Linked DNA regions of Pelodiscus sinensis. The protein of the gene in region 1 purifies or fractionates together with the protein of each later gene. This does not show direct contact. Links are inferred from orthologs where the notes say so. Each region holds a gene or a part of one and is shown on either strand. Other genes may lie near its edges. The genes, in order: CPSF2 and FIP1L1.

The links.
Region 2: the proteins of CPSF2 (region 1) and FIP1L1 purify together in Homo sapiens (affinity purification with mass spectrometry; 7 studies listed by BioGRID and IntAct, with this or other methods). This does not show direct contact. The link is inferred for Pelodiscus sinensis from reciprocal best matches to the Homo sapiens genes CPSF2 and FIP1L1.

Annotation. Positions count from the first base shown.
Region 1 is NC_134714.1:30,841,202-30,849,038, reverse strand, and holds the start of CPSF2 (cleavage and polyadenylation specificity factor subunit 2), read left to right. Parts: upstream 1-4,581; 5' UTR 4,582-4,736; intron 4,737-7,837. Other genes in the region: NDUFB1 (NADH dehydrogenase [ubiquinone] 1 beta subcomplex subunit 1), read right to left, coding at 1-7, 1,109-1,248. UniProt on the Homo sapiens protein: Component of the cleavage and polyadenylation specificity factor (CPSF) complex that play a key role in pre-mRNA 3'-end formation, recognizing the AAUAAA signal sequence and interacting with poly(A) polymerase and other factors to bring about cleavage and poly(A) addition.
Region 2 is NC_134715.1:86,076,775-86,084,653, reverse strand, and holds the start of FIP1L1 (pre-mRNA 3'-end-processing factor FIP1), read left to right. Parts: upstream 1-4,875; 5' UTR 4,876-5,051; coding exon 5,052-5,133; intron 5,134-6,725; coding exon 6,726-6,765; intron 6,766-7,879.

The DNA.
Region 1 (7,837 bases):
CAATTCCCTGTGTTTGGGGGGGAGGGGGACGAGAGAAAAAAAAAGAATACAATTAAATAATGCACCGGACTTTTGCAGACTAATCTACAGAGACTTAGCCAGGGTGTTATGCACCCAGGGGCAAAAGAAAAATTTGTGCCGCCACTGCCCTCTCCTGCCCCCCCCCCCCCAACTGGCCCAACCCTGGGAGGAGGGGAAAGCTTGTACCACATCTTCTCCTGCCAGTGGAGATGGAGGAGGGTTGGGCTGGGAGCAGAGAGAAGGCTCTAGCTGCCACCAGCAGGCAGAGGAGCAGGCAAGCCAAGGGATAACAGGGGGAGCAGAGGAGGACTAAACTGGTGACTCCCCTAGCATGGAGAGATTCAATGAACTGGTACTGTTCAGCTTAAAAAAAAAGACAGCTAAGGGGGGAAATGATAAATGTTTATATAAAATTATTACTGGTATGGAAAAAAAGGGGATAGGGAAGTTTATTTTACCCCCTCACATAACACAAGAACCATGTGTTATGAAATTAGTAGGCAACAGGTTTAAAGCAAGATAAGAAAGTGTTTCCTTACACAATGCATTGTTACCCTGTAAAACTCTTTGACAGAAGATATTGCGAAGGCCACAAGTATAACTTGAGTTGAGAAAAGAACTGGATTAAGTTAATGGAAAATAGGTTCTTCAGTAGCTATTTGCCAAGATGGTCAGGGAGCCAACCCCATGCTTAGGGAGTCCTTACACCACTGACCACCAGAAGTTGGGACTGGAAAACTTGATCACTGCCCTTTTCTGTTCATTCCCTCTATGGCAATATGCCATGTGGCAGTGGCCACTTTCAGAAGACAGGATACTGGGCTAGGTGGACCACTGGTCTAACCTAGTATGGCCATTCTTATGACACTAATATGGGGACGGATTGCAAGTTTGCTTAATTCCAGCTAATTTAAATAGGAGTTTAGAACACTGAGCACCTCTCAAGGAGCTGAACATTTTGCAGGACAGAAGGTATCGGACAAAATCCTTTTTCCTTTGTAGCCAACATAAAAACATGACATAATTCATGTCAACAAGAAAGCAGAATTAAGCAGATTATTTTGTTAAAAAGTTGTGTCAAACTAACCTTTTAAATAAAAGGCTCTTGTTTCTAAAAGTTGACAGTTTTTCATCATTCCTTCTGTCCAGATAGCAACCAATAACAAATCCCATTGGACACAAAATGTGGACCCAATGTTCACGCACAAAGTTGACAACATTCACCATGACTGCTAAAAGGAAAAAAAAAAAAAGTTGGAGGGTTCAGGAGGAGGCAGAAAAACCTGAGCACAGAAATGACTGCCTATACCTATAATATACCTATCTATAATGGGCTTTTTTCAATACAATCCTGAATATTTGAAGGCCAGCACACATTCTAACAAGAGAAAAATGCTGCTCCCAAATCCACATGAGATTCCTGGATACAGGACTCTATATTGAATTTGCAGTACAGAGTAGAATTTTGCCCTAAATGAACAGGAATGTAACCCAAATAATAAACTATTTTAAGGTGGTCAAAGGTTGAATATTTGCATTGATTATGGAAAATGCCCTCACCAGAAATCATTGTAACAATGCACCAGTTACCAGGAGTCTGTCTTGCTGTAAAACAGAATACAGTAAACTTCCAATAATCCGGCACCTTTAGGACCCATGGGGTGCCGGATTATCAAATATGTCGGACTATCAGAAGGGGGAGCTATGAGAGGTCTGGAGTGGGGTGGGGGAGAATATGGGGCGCGGCGCTGCAGGACCAACCCAGCAGCACCCCAGCTGCTCTGCCCCAGACTTCCCCAAATCAGCCGCTGCTGAAACTGACTAGCGGCTAACTCAGGGAAGCCCGGGACAGAGCTGCTCCAATTGTCCAGCTGCCTGGAGCACTTCCAGGTTCCAGGTGGTGCCAGACTATCAGGAGTGCCGGACCACTAGATGCCGGACAACTAGAGTTTTACTGTACTTGTTTTCAACAATCATTTATAAAGCGGGACTTTCTATAGCATTCATCTATAAATCTCGATGCAATTACTGTAAGGTGCTTGCACAACTAGTTAAAAGGCCATCCTCAAAGAGTAATTATCAATAATCTACTGTCAAACTGGAAAGATCTATCAGATAGGGACTCTCATAGGTCTGGTACTAGTTAATGTTTTCATTAATGACTTGAATGATAGAGTGGAGAGATGCTTATAAAATTTGCACATGACACCAAGCAATCAGGGGCAGACCGGTAATATTTTACTTACATATATATCATTTGCATGATGAATATACAAATACACAAATGAAATGTTGCCAGTCTGCCTAACGTTTCTTAATGGGTTTGCTGGTCCCCGGTATCAAAAAGGTTGGAAACCACTGTTTTAGGGGATCACAAATTGAATACGAATCAACACTATGATACTGTCCTGAAAAAGGCAACTGCCATTCTGGTATATGATCACAGGGGTATAAGCCATGGGAAGTAATTCTGCTCTACATGGCTCTGGTGCGGCCTCAACTGGAAATACGGTGTCCAGTTTTAGGCATTACTGTTAAAAAAGATGTGATCAAATTGGAGAAAAAAATCCAAACATCTTTCTGGGATATATTAACAGGAGTGTTGTAAACAAGGCACGAGAAACAATTTTTCTACTCTACTCTGCTGATTAGGCCTTAACTCTAGTACTGTGTCCAATTTTGGGTGCCAGACAAGGGTACCATTTCGAGTGCATGGGAGGGGCAGTAGCCGTGCACTCCGGGACGCAGCTAGCTTTTCATCCCTTTCCCCAGATGCTAAGGGAGTGAGAAGAAACTGCTTGTGTTCCATGAAGGGAGCTCACCAGCCAGGTGTGAGAGGAATGCAAGCACTTTCCCCTCACTCCCTTAGCATCCAGGGAACGGAATGAAAAGCTAGCCAGTCTGTTGCCAGATTTTAGGAAAGATGTGGATAAACTGAAGGTGGTCCATGGAAGAGCAAAAAATGATTAGATGTCTAGAAAACATGACCTATGAAGACAGATTTGGAAAGAATTGGGTTTTAGTCTGGAAATGAGAAAAATGGGGGAGGGGAACACAATACCTAAAAGCTTGTTACAAAGAGTAAGGAAATAATTTTTTCTCCTTAACCCCGGAGAACAAGACAAGCAGCAAGGGGCTTACATTGCAGCAAGAGAGGTTTAGGTTGGATATTAAAAAAGCAAGGCACACTTGCCAGCAATGCAGCAGCTCTGAGTGACATGGGGGCTACCATAGCACCTAGGCAGCCTGCCTGAATTCCCCACTGGGCTGGGAGTCAGCTATGAGAAGCATGGACTGTTTAGGACCACACCCTGCACATCCTTCTACATCCCAACCCCAGGTCAGAAACTCCCCCAACTGGGCCCAAACTCCCTCCCAGACCCTGCAGCCCAATCCCCTTCCCAGAGCTCCCTCCTCAACTCTCTTCATTAATATAACAGAAAAGTGCAGCCTGTGAACACTTAAAATATTCTTAGAATTACCCCCCTGCAAAAATTATTGACCATCCCTGGCCTACTAGGAGCTTAAAATCATTGAACTAGTCCTTGCATAATACAGATTTTAAACAATAAAAACCAAGAGTATTAATCAGGCACCTTAAAAGCAGCAGAACACCCAAACGTTTTTTAAATATTACAGTAAATGCATGTAGGGACATAAATAAAACTCAGGTCTGAAAGGCTTTTTATGTTTAGTTTCACAAGCCTAGCCACCCCTCGATTTGGGATGTATTTGAGGAGTAAAACACCACATACGCACAGCGAAACTGAACACTGCTTCTAAGTAGAGCTTTGCATGGATACAAAAATAGAATCCACAGCCATGCCTGCACCAGCACAAATGATCCACGGATATGCACAGCTGCGGATACCCACGGACTTCTAACCAAGCTGCAGGATTCTAGATATAAATTTGCTATTCGCAAAAGTAAGCTACAAATATCCGCTTATGGCTAGAAAGGGGATCTCTGTGGATTTGCAGGGCCCTTACTGGTAAGCTCTTCAGGGGAGTGCCTGTGTCAGGTAAGGCCCTATAGCACCCCGCACGGCCCCCGACTGCTCCCAGTAGCGTTACGGTGTTAGTGCCCCACGAGCTGAGGGAGAAAGCCACTCTGCAGGGCCCTGTATTTCTAAAGTACCCCCCCCCGCCGAGCGCCCCCCGGCTCTCCACACGGTGGATCCCTATTTCCAGCCGAGAAGGCACCAGCAGAGCTGCCAGCTGTAGGCAATCGTGCAACCCGCGGGCTAGCCTCGTCCACGCACTCCGCCAGGCCCCGCTCACCTGCCGCCGGGCCTAGGCCTACCGCCGCCTGCGCCGAGCCCAAGGGCAACTGGGGCCACTCGACTGGCTATCGGAAAAGCCGCCAGCCTACTGGGTCAGACCATTAGCTGTAGAGGGGAGGTAGCTTCCCCCGGTCGCTTTTAGTTCAGCGTTCTACCCACCACCCTTCTGAGACTCTGTGGCCCAGCCCGCATAATAATGGGGCTGCGAAACCTCAAGGCCCGAGGGTCCTGAGATGTACTCCCCCGGGTTCAGAATGGGACCGTCCATTCCCCTTTCGCTTTCTCCAGCTGCCGAAGCCGCTCCTCCTCTCCCTCCCCCCGTTTTCAAAATGGCGGCAGCTGTGGAAGACACGGGGTCTGGCTGAGGAGGAGGCCGGGTCTCCTCTGCGCTGTCCCCGCTGCGTTTAGGGGCGGCGTAGGGCTGGTGGTGAGGTAGGTGCCAGGCTGCCTCGCTTCGCTTCCCCCCCGTTCCCGGGCGGAGCCGGTGACAGGGCGCTGCATGCTGGCCCCTGACAAGCTAGAACGCTTCCCTCCCCCCCTCGGCCCAGGCTGATGTGGGTGGGGGAGTTTATTGCGGCGCCCCGGCATCCGCGACAGCGCGGGGAAGACGCTTCCCTGCCGCCGGGATGTCTTGGGATCGGAACTCGCCTCCATGAGCGGAGGGGGCGAGACCCTCCCCACCGCGAGCGAGGGGGGCACCTACCGAAGGAGGTGGAGATGAGAGTCTGCTCTCTGAGTGCGCGCTGGGAACAGATTCCATTGAATGAAGGACCCTGGCTATAGGGGTCTTGTGAAGTGTTCTAGCTCATCCCCTCCCCCTCAGGCGAGTTAACCTAAACCATCCCTGCCTGCTTTTAAATGCCTCCAAAGGTGGGTGTTATAGAAGTTCCCTGGGATGAGAACTTAATTACTGTTCCAGTTAGAAAAACATTCTGATATCTAACCCTGTTCTCTCTTGCTGCAGATTAAGCCCTTTACTTATTGTCCTGCCTTCAGTGGACATGGAAACCAGTTGAACCTAATCCTGTTAATAACAGCCTTTAACATATTGGAAGACTATTTTCAGGTCCCCTCTGTTTCCTTTTCTCAAGACTAATCATGTCCAATCTTTAGACAAAGGAGACCTAACTCATTCTCTGCTTTCATTAGTATTTTGTAAGTTATATTAAAAAACCCTCCTGCATGATTGTAATGATAGCTAGGAAATGATGCATTTATTAATCTAAGGAATAGGAGGGAAGACAGCAGAATAAAGAAAATGGATTTCAAGAAGGCAGACTTCAGCAAACTTGAGTTGGTAGGTAAGATCCCATTGGCAGCAAGTGTAAGGCTAGGTCTATACAAGACTCAGAAGGTTAGCTTAAAGTGTGCAACTCTAGCTACGTAAATAACATAGTTAGAGTTGACATACTGTAACCTTATTTTGGCGCTGCTTCTGCAGTGAGAGATCAATGGGAACAAATGCTCCTGTTGAGACTTCCCTTACTCAGGAGCGGTCTGAGGCCGGCTGCGGCAGCTGGCGCCCCAGACAGAGCATGCGATCGGTGCCCCCGCCTGCAGGGCAGTTAATGGACTAACATCATTGGTGGGCGCCCGTGACGTCATCAGCGGGCACCCCTGCCCTTACTCCTCATGAATCAAAAAGTACCTGTATCAACCAGGGATGCCTTCAGCGTTCGATTTAGCGAGTCCTTACTAGACCTGCTAAATCAAATGCCAGAAGATTACTGGCACAGTAAGTTTAGATGTGGCCTAGGAGAAAACAGTTTGAAAGAGTGAGCAGTTTTTTAGAGAGAACTTATTAGGGGTGTGAGCAAGCTATCTCACTGCGGAAAAAATAGGAATTATAGCCGAAGACCACTTTGATCCAACCAGGAAATTTTCAATGATCCGAAACTCAAAAAAGAATCCTATAGAAAGGAAAATTAGATCAAATTATAAAGACGGAGTATTAAAAAACAAAAAGCACCACAAGCAGGAAGGGACACAATTAAGCTAAGCCACAATGAGATCAAACTAGCTAGTGGCATAAAGAAGAAGAAAATGTTCTAGAAATGCATTAGATGCAAGAGGAAGACCACGGACAGGATAGGCCTGTTACACAATAGGGAGAACTAATAACAGAAAATGTAAACATGGCTGATGTGCTAAATGATTTTTTTCATTTTTCACCAAAAAGATTAGTGGCAATTGGACATCTAACATAGTGACTGACATGAAAATGAAGTAGGAGTTGAGGCTGAGCTAGAGAAAGAACAAGTTAAAAATTTCTTAGACAAGTTAGATAACTTCAAGTCAGCAAGGCCTGGTGGAAATATATCTTGAAATACTCAAGATGCTGACTGAAGAAATATCTGAGCCAATAGCTATTATTTTTGAAAATTTATGGAAGGCTGGAGAGATTCTGGAGGACTGAGAGCAAATATAGTGCTAGACTCTAGAAACCCGATTAAGAATAGCCCTGGAGGATTACAGACCTGTCAGTTTAACTTCAGTACCCAGAACCTAGAAGATAATAAGGTAATAATTAACAGTCAACATGGATTTGACAAAAACAAATCCTGACAAACCAACCTAATAGCTTTCTTTGACAGTGTAACAAGGTTTCTGCATGGGGTGAAACAATTAATGGTTTACTCATGGAGGAATTCTGCATCACTCTGTGCACAAAGTATTCATGGATCCCTCAAATTTTTTTGCTTCCCTGTAAAAAAATATGACTTCTGATGGGGAAACAAAGGGAAGTTGCAAGAGTGGCCACTTGTCATTTCAGGTGCCTGGGACAGAGAAAAATAACTATTTGGGATTAGAGAGGGGGAGGGAATGGGGGGATGAGGGTGCCCCACCCAGTCAACCCTATCCTTTGCTAATATCAGCTGCTACTTCTGGCTGGGCATCTTCTTCCCTTGCAAGGTGTGACTGGAGCTGGTTAGACACACCCCCAGAAAACGTCCCTGACTGTACGAAACTCTGCACCCCCACTTTCTGCCCCCAACATTCTTTAGGCATTAGAGGAAAGTTTGTTTTATGGGGAGCTGATCTCCCCCATCTGCCCAACACCCATGGCTGTGTCTAGACTGGCCAGTTTTTCTGGAAAATCAGTCGCTTTTCTGGAAAAACTTGCCAGCTGTCTACAGTGGCCGCTTGAATTTCCGCAAAAGCACTGACTTCCTACTGTAAGAAATCAGTGCTTTTTGCGGAAATACTATGCTGCTCCCGTTCGGGCAAAAGTCCCTTTTGCGCAAAAGGGGCAGTGTAGACAGCTGAGATTTGATTTCTGCAAAAAAGCCCCGATTGCGAAAATGGCGTTCGGGGCTTTTTTGCGGAAAAGCACGTCTAGATTGGCCACGGACGCTTTTACGCAAAAAGTGCTTTTGCGGAAAAGCATCCGTGTCAATCTAGACGCTCTTTTCCGAAAATGCTTTTAACGGAAAACTTTTCCATTAAAAGCATTTCTGGAAAATTATGCCAGTGTAGACGTAGCCCATGTATCCAGACTTCCCCATATCTAGCTCTTCTGCCAAGCCTTACCT
Region 2 (7,879 bases), on another chromosome or scaffold:
AGGAAGGAAAACTGGCTTGTCTAGAGGAAGGAGAATGGCTGGCCCCCTGGGACAGTAGACAATGCTCCACACCGCACCCAGGCACCTGTCCATTTCAGTCAGGAATCAGTATACTGTAGATGCAACACAAAGTGAGGAGCAGATCACAGTGTCTGAGGAATAGACCATAATGGCGAGGAGGAGGAGCCTCTTGTCCCTAAAACTGGGGACTGAGTCAGGATAGGAGGAGGTCAGGGTCAGGCTGCCACCAGGTGACAGATTGCAGGCCACTAACAGAAATCAGAGTCAGAAGCCAGAGACTAAGTTTTACAGTGAGGAAAGGTCTGGAGCAAAAGCAAGCAAATAGTCTGTGTCATTGCATGGACAACTACATATGATGGTTTCCTGCTTTCTATAGCAGCGCAGGCCAGTCAGTAGTCTATGGGGGGTTATCACTGAGGTCCTGCTGGATGGTACTTCCTACGTTGTTTAGCTCAGCAGTTTCAGCCACCAGTCTACAGCCCAGTGTTGGGCCACAAACTGCTGGCTGATGGGCCGCAGTGGCTCAGGGGGCCAGTGCTGAGGTACACTGCCCAACGTCTCCTCTCTTGTCGTGGCTGTTGGGAAAGGAATACCCTACCCCGCCTTTCAGCCAGCCAACACCCGGCAGGGGTGAGAGCTCCTCCTGGATGCAGATGAGTGGTTTGCTGCGCAGAAGGAGGACTGTGCAGAGCCCTGCATGGCAGCCTTAGAACAGCGGTGACCTGGGCAGCAGTGCTCAGCTGGGAGGCATGCAGGGTGGAGCAGGCAGTGGGAACTCTGGGGGCGGGGCTGGTGTTGGGGGCTCTAAGGGGCAGAAGGCTGGCACTGGGCAGCTCTCGGGCATCCAAGGTGGGGAGCTGGCACTGGGGGGCTCTGAGTGCAGGGATAGTAGTGGAGGAGCTACAGGGGCAGGGCTGGCACTGGGGAGCTCTGGGGACAGGGCTGACATTGGGGACTGGGGGCTGGCACGGGGGTATTCTGAGGGGTTGAGTGCAGTGGGGCTCTAGAAACAGGAGGCTGGCACTGGAGAGGTCTGGTGGTGGTGGTGCTCTAAGGGGCGGGGGCTGGCACTGGGGAGCTCTGAGGGTGGGAGGCTGGCACTGGGAAAGTTGGGTGCAGGGGACTCTGGGATCAGTGGCTAGTGCTTGGGGGTATTGGAGGAGTGGGGGGGCTTTAGGGGTTGGGGCTGGCACTGGAGGGCTCAGGGGTTGGGGTATACCCCAGCCCCGGCCCCCAAGCCTCCATGAACAGCCAGTTTCAGCTGCAGCAGCCACCTGCTGATAACATTTTATTTGCATATATATTATTTGCGTAATGGGTGTGCATGTATGCAAATAAAATTTTACCGGTCCACACAAAGTTTGTCAGTGTGTTTGCCGGTCCGCGGTTTAAAAAGGTTTAGCGTCACAGACTTCTCTACTGGCAACCTGGCCCTTCCAATAGTGATGTGGAAGCATAGGCAGCCTAGAATACCCCTGCTCTAGGTTCTTGCCCTCCCCTCAGGTTATAATAGGTATATTAACAAGAGTGTTATATGTAAGACATGAGAGATAATTTTCCTGCTCTGTTTTGCCTCAACAACTGGAATACTGTATCCAGTTCTGTGTGCCACATTTTAAGAAAATATGTGGACAAATTGGAAAGAGTCTAGAGAAGAGCAACAAAAAACAGTGAAAGATTTGGAATAGCGGACTTGTGAAGAAAGCTTAAAATATCTGTGCATGTTTAGTCTTGAGAGAAGAAGACTGAGGTGAGACCTGATAACAGGTTTCAGATATGCAAGGCGGTATAAAGAAGATTGTGTTTAATTGTTCTCATTGTCTGGTGAAGATAGGACAAGTAGTAATGGGCCTGACAATAAGCACTTCTCATCTTTTGTGGTGATAAATGGCAGGAAAATGTTCTTTTAATTCCAGCTCTGGTGCATCTCCCTCCAACTCCCTCTCTCATCCATTTTTTTTCAATTCTTGCCTCTGATTTGTACCTTTATTTAATCTCAGCTCTGATTTATTATTTTAACCTACTAAATGTGGTATAAACTTTTAGAGTACTCAACAATATGAAAAATAAAATTAGTCTGGAAAATATTTGATGTGAACAATTAATGCCAAAAGAATTGGTGATGGTTGATCACCAGGCTACTGGGCTTAAAACCATAGGCTACGTCTAGACTGGCCCCTTCTTCGGAAGAGGAATGCTAATTTCTAACTTTGGAATAGGGAAATCCGCAGGGGATTTAAATACCCCCCACGGGATTTAAATAAACATGGCCGCCGCTTTTTTTCCGGCTCGGGGAAAAGCCGGAAAAGAGCGTCCAGACTGGCACGATCCTCCGGAATAAAGCCCTTTTCCGGAGGATCTCTTATTCTAAGAGGGCTTTATTCCGGAGGATCGCGCCAGTCTGGACGCTCTTTTCCGGCTTTTCCCCGAGCCGGAAAAAAAGCGGCGGCCATGTTTATTTAAATCCCACGGGGGGTATTTAAATCCCCCGCGGATTTCCCTATTCCAACCTGAAGTAGGAATAAGAGATCCTCTGGAAAAGGGCTTTATTCCGGAGGATTGCGCCAGTCTGGATGCTCTTTTCCGGCTTTTCCCCGAGCTGGAAAAAAAGCGGCGGCCATGTTTATTTAAATCCCGCGGGGGGTATTTAAATCCCCCGCGGATTTCCCTATTCCAAAGTTAGAAATTAGCATGCCTCTTCCGAAGAAGGGGCCAGTGTAGACACAGCCATACAGAATTAATTTGTTGTCAGGTTGAATGATCTTGGAGACTATAATTCTTAAAGTTTTTGCTTTGATACATCACAGATAAAGGCTGAAAAAACTGTTTTTGTTTTCTTCTGCTTTTCCAGTGTTATGTTTTTATTTTTTAATGTTTTAACTTCCGTTTTCATGATTATGCAAAGTCAAAGCAATGGAAGTTCTGTCAGGAAATCATGAGGGTTTTGTTTTGTTTTTATATATACTGTACAGCACAAAGTGCAACTATTTCTCTTTATGGGCCAGTTTGGAAGAAAGACCACTAGCCAAAATCAGATTAACCAGTTTAAATCCAGAATGATTACATTAATGAAGAATTAATAATTTACTTGGCAGTTCTCTGTAGTCTGATTTAATTATTGCCTGTGTAAATATTTAAGCATTCCTGAAATTAAAATAATCAGTATTCATCTGAAGACTTGCTTTAAACTTGAAAACTTTTAAGTTTTAAAAAATGATGTAAAAGTAGTTTCACATTCTGCAATTACCTTTGAGTCCTGTCAATTTTTGTAGGTTTAGTTATGAGGGTCTTTCCGTAACAAAGATGGTAGCCATTGCCTATCGTTTTTAAAATGTGCAGTGGGGAAAGTAAGGGTGTATGCCCTGGTGTGAAGCTCTGGCAAGAGCTGACTGAGCTGTGGCAAAAACTATTTAAAGAGCTGGCAAGATCCCAGGTTGCAATAGGACAGTACCTGTAAGAAATTTTTAAGTAACTTTCACTTTTGAAAAAGAGATTGAAGAAATGTTGTCTTTAAGAAAAATCATCTCACTTTCCATGCTAACTGGACAGCCAGAAGGCATGGCAATACAGGGTGCAGTAGAAATGCCTAAAGGCAGGGCAGGATTAAGGCATGGGCTGGCTGGATTAAGGCAAGGGCTGGCCAGGCTGCTGCCCAGGGCGCCAACCTATGGGGAGGCAACTGATGGCAGCTGTAAAGGGGCACGCAGCACCCCTTACAGCTGCCATCAGGTGCCGCGCACCTGGATCCTGGACTGCAGCAGCTCCCAGCGGCCACCCTGCAGTGGCCGCCTGGGGCGGGGGGCCACGTTAAACCCCGCAGCGCCAGCCAGCAGCGCCCTTTCCCCCTGCGGCTGTGGGGCCCTACACAGCCAGACTCGGCCCACCTCTGGCGGTGCGCCAATGGCGATAGCCGGGCTGGGCATGTGTGTCCTGTTGCCGCCAGCTCCGCATGCCCTCCCCCACATGCTGGGCGGGGGCAGGGCCGTGCATGTGCCCTCCCCCAACCTGGGGCACAATTAAACTGTCTGCCCGGGGAACCGGAATGGCTCGGGCCGGCCCTGCTAAAGGGAATAGGGGAGGGAGACTGACAGAAAAGGAGAAGGTTAGGATGCCACGCCTGTAGGGGAGGGAAAATATGGGAGAGGAGCAGGTGAAAAACAAGGAGGTAAGGAATGGATCCTTGCTGCAGTACAGAGAGATGCAGAATAATGCTATGTGAGTGGGTAGGAAGGGATAAAACAGCAGCTCCTACCCTCTCCTCCAAAAGTAAGAGAGGCTAATTTCTCCTCTTGCCAGTAGCCTGGGGAAGGCTTCCCTTAATGTGGGCCTGTTGGCTGGAGGATTGTCCAAGCTGCATTGAGCATGCTCCTGTTGGGTAAGGGCTCACTCCCCTGCAGACTGAAACACCTGCCCCCTTGCAGTCTTCCCAGTGATTTGTTTTAATCGACTTTTTATTGTTGGGCTGAGGATTTTTATAACTTTGGTGGCAGGCAAGTGTCCGTTTCCCGCCTTCCCTGACTTTGGGAAGCCCAATTTCTGTGGCACTAGTTAGCAGGGCTGGGTTAGCAAAGGGCCCCACGGGGGGTGGGCCTGAGACAGGCCGCTGTAAAATCTACATTACGCCGGCTTGTATCTTTCTCCCCCAGGGTGGCCCCTCGGAGAGGCTCCTCTTCCCACTGTGCCGCACGGCGAAGGCCCAGAACCTCTTACTCCTTCCCGCACTGTGCCCAGCTGGGAGAGGGGGCAGGCCCCCTTTCCCCGCCCCAACCCCCAGCAGTGTCCTACTCCTCCCCGCAGTCCCAGTGCTCCTCGGGCTGCGGGGCTCGGCCCTTTCCTGTGTGTGTGTCAGTCATTCAGCGGGGGGAGGGGAAGCGCTGAGCGAGCGGCGGCGGCGGCTCCTCGGCGGGGGAGGGCGGGCGCTGCACACACCGGCCGCCGCCTCCTCCTCCGCCGCTCGGCTGCCGCGGGGAGCTGCGCGCGCGGTCTGTGCCTGTGCAGCGCAGGGCCGGCGCGGTCCAGGGCAGGCGGCCATGTCGGCCGGCGAGGTGGAGCGGCTGGCGGCGGATCTGAGCGGGGCCGGCGGGGATGAGGAGGAGGAGTGGCTCTATGGCGGTACGCACCTTCCTAGGCCCCGGCCTGGCCCGGCCGCCTCGCGCTCCCTGGCGCCGCGGGACGGGGAAAGGCCGGAAGGGGAGCGCTAGGCCCTAGCGTGCGCAGCAGCCGCTCTCCCATCGCCTAGGCCGATCCCTGGGCCGGGCCGGGCCGGGCCTGCTGCCTCTGACCGCGTGCCCATCTCCCGCAGGAGCCGCGCCGGGGGCTGCCGGCCTGGCCTGTTGGTGCGGGAACCACCTGCGCTAGTGTGGCCGGACTGGAGGCTGGTCACGGCGCACCCCCGGGCTCCAGTGTGACTGCAGTGATCCCCAGGCCTGCGGCTCTCTGCTCCCCGCCCCATCTCTGCCTGGTCCCCTCCTTTCGCTTGACCTCCTGGGTTTTCAGCTCTCCATTATCCGGCCACCCCCCTTCCGCCATAAGCCTCAGGCAGCTCCTGGCTGGTTATGTGCTCCCACAAATGCGGCCCCCTTTAAAAGGTCCATGAGTCTTTCTTTCTGGCCTTGTAAATTTTCCATCACCATCCTATTTAGCTCCTACCTAGATCTAGAGGTGAGAGACTCCTTTGACATACCAAAGATTTAAAATGTGTACTTCCAAGTGTAATTTCCCATTCTGTAGAATTACTTAGAACTAGGAGGAAAAGGCTGATTGGACACTGGGTTCCTATAGTGCTTCAGTCTATAATTTGTACCAAATCCACTCGTTTTGGACTGGAAGGTTAGAATATAATGACTGATCAAAAGCATGTTTGTGTATCAAACGGTATTTTATTTTCTGACAGGTAGTAGTGTCTCCAACACTTTGAGAAAATTCTGAGATGTGATTGATACGGAATACTGAGTTTACATTTAGGGCTGCAGGATTGGCCCCTCATTCATCTCATTAGTTCCACCAAAATCCATGATTGCTTTCATGAATAAAGATAGCAAGATCAACACCTTGTTTTCTGTTATGCCTTTCATATAAATTATCTTAAAATTATTTTAATATTCTTAGGCCCTTAAATTTTCACATACATAATCACATTTGAAATACTGTAATCTTTCTCTTTTGTTTGTTTGAAACTATGGAGCTTCACTTTGGTGGGTATGTCTAATCTGCCACTGGAGTGAGTTTCCAGCCTGGGTAGACACTCTCATTAGTGGGGCTTCAGCTAGCATGCTGACATTAGGAATATGAACTGGTCTTGTGAGTCTAAGATGCAGTCTAAGCTACACCATCAATACTTCTGTTTTAAGAGTGCTACCTTGCACCTCACTAGGATGAATTTGTTTTCCCTGAGTGGGCCATTGTTGCCAGCTGCAGTGTAGACATACCAATTTTGTACCCTAACCACATTACTGTTGCCTGCAAACTAAAACACTGATACTGTAAGGGTCTATTTGTAGAGCTCTGTTGGCTTAAGGGGGTGCTGTCTTGGGTCAGATGTCTTAGCACATATATCTAACTCAGGACTGGAGAGCCCACAAATTTATTCAGGGATCATTGCTTAAATAAAGTTATTTGGTATAGGATAAGCTTGCAATAAACTGCTATTTTTGACTCTAGGGTTTCTCATACATAATATTTAAATAATGTTTTTCTTTTGACAGATGAAAATGAACCAGAGAGACCAGAGGAACAAAAAGCTAGGTGGGTGTCTTGATAAGTTGTGAATCTGGTAATGTAGTTGTGCAAAAAGTGTATTAAAACATAATTTCACACCTTTTTCTTGCGGTTACATCGTTGGGAGTTGGACACCTAAATGGTTACCTTTGAATATCTCCTTCATATCATTTGTGTGATCTGCCAGTTCAACTGTTTAAATAGCTTTCTCTAGAATTGGGGCTTTTCAATCTTACATATGAAAATCCATTTTTAATTAAGTGCAGCATTATCCATATCATTGTAAAAAAGGACTAAGATTTCTTTAATGTAGTTTTTGTTACATTGGGAGCCCACTTCATTCACACTTAAATGTATTATTATAGGACTTAGGGATATCTGCTGTAATTTGCAGTACAGGCAGTCCCTGGGTTAGGTCAATCCGACTTAAGTCGGACCCCTAGTTACAAACGGGGGGAAGGGGCGCAGCTAGTGCGGGGTGCCTCCCCCACTGTCGCCGCCTCCGGCGGCGCAGGTGGCGCTTCCCCCCAGCAGACCAGTGAGACGTGGAGCTAGTGCCCCCCCCAGCAGACCAGGGAGACGTGGAGCGGCTTTTCTCGCCGCGGAGGACGCAGGCAGCGGGACAGCGGCGCATCTCGGTCCCGCTGCCCGCGTCCTCCGTGGCGAGAAAAGCCGCTCCGTGTCTCTCTGGTCTGCTGGGGGGGGGCGCAGCTAGTGTGCCCCCTCCCCCCCAGCAGACCAGGCTTTTCTCGCCGCGGAGAACGTGGGCGGTGGGACCGCCGAGACGCGCCGCGGTCCCGCCGCCCACGTCCTCCGCGGCGAGAAAAGCCGCTCCGCGTCTCCCTGGTCTGCTGGGGGGAGGGAGGGGCGCAGCTAGTGCCTCCCCCCCTCAGCAGACCAGGCTTTTCTCGCCGCTGGTCAGTTTCAGCAGCGACTGAATCAGGACGCCTGGGGTAGAGCAGCTGGGGTGCTGCCGGGTTGCTCCCCGCAGTGCCGAGGTGTGGCGCTGCGGGGACCTACCTGGCAGCGCCCCAGCTGCTCTGTCCCAGGCATCCAGATTCTGCCACTGCTGAATCTGACCAGCGGCTGACTACAGGAAGCTTGAGGCAGAGCTGCTCTGCCCTGGGCTTCCTGGAATCAG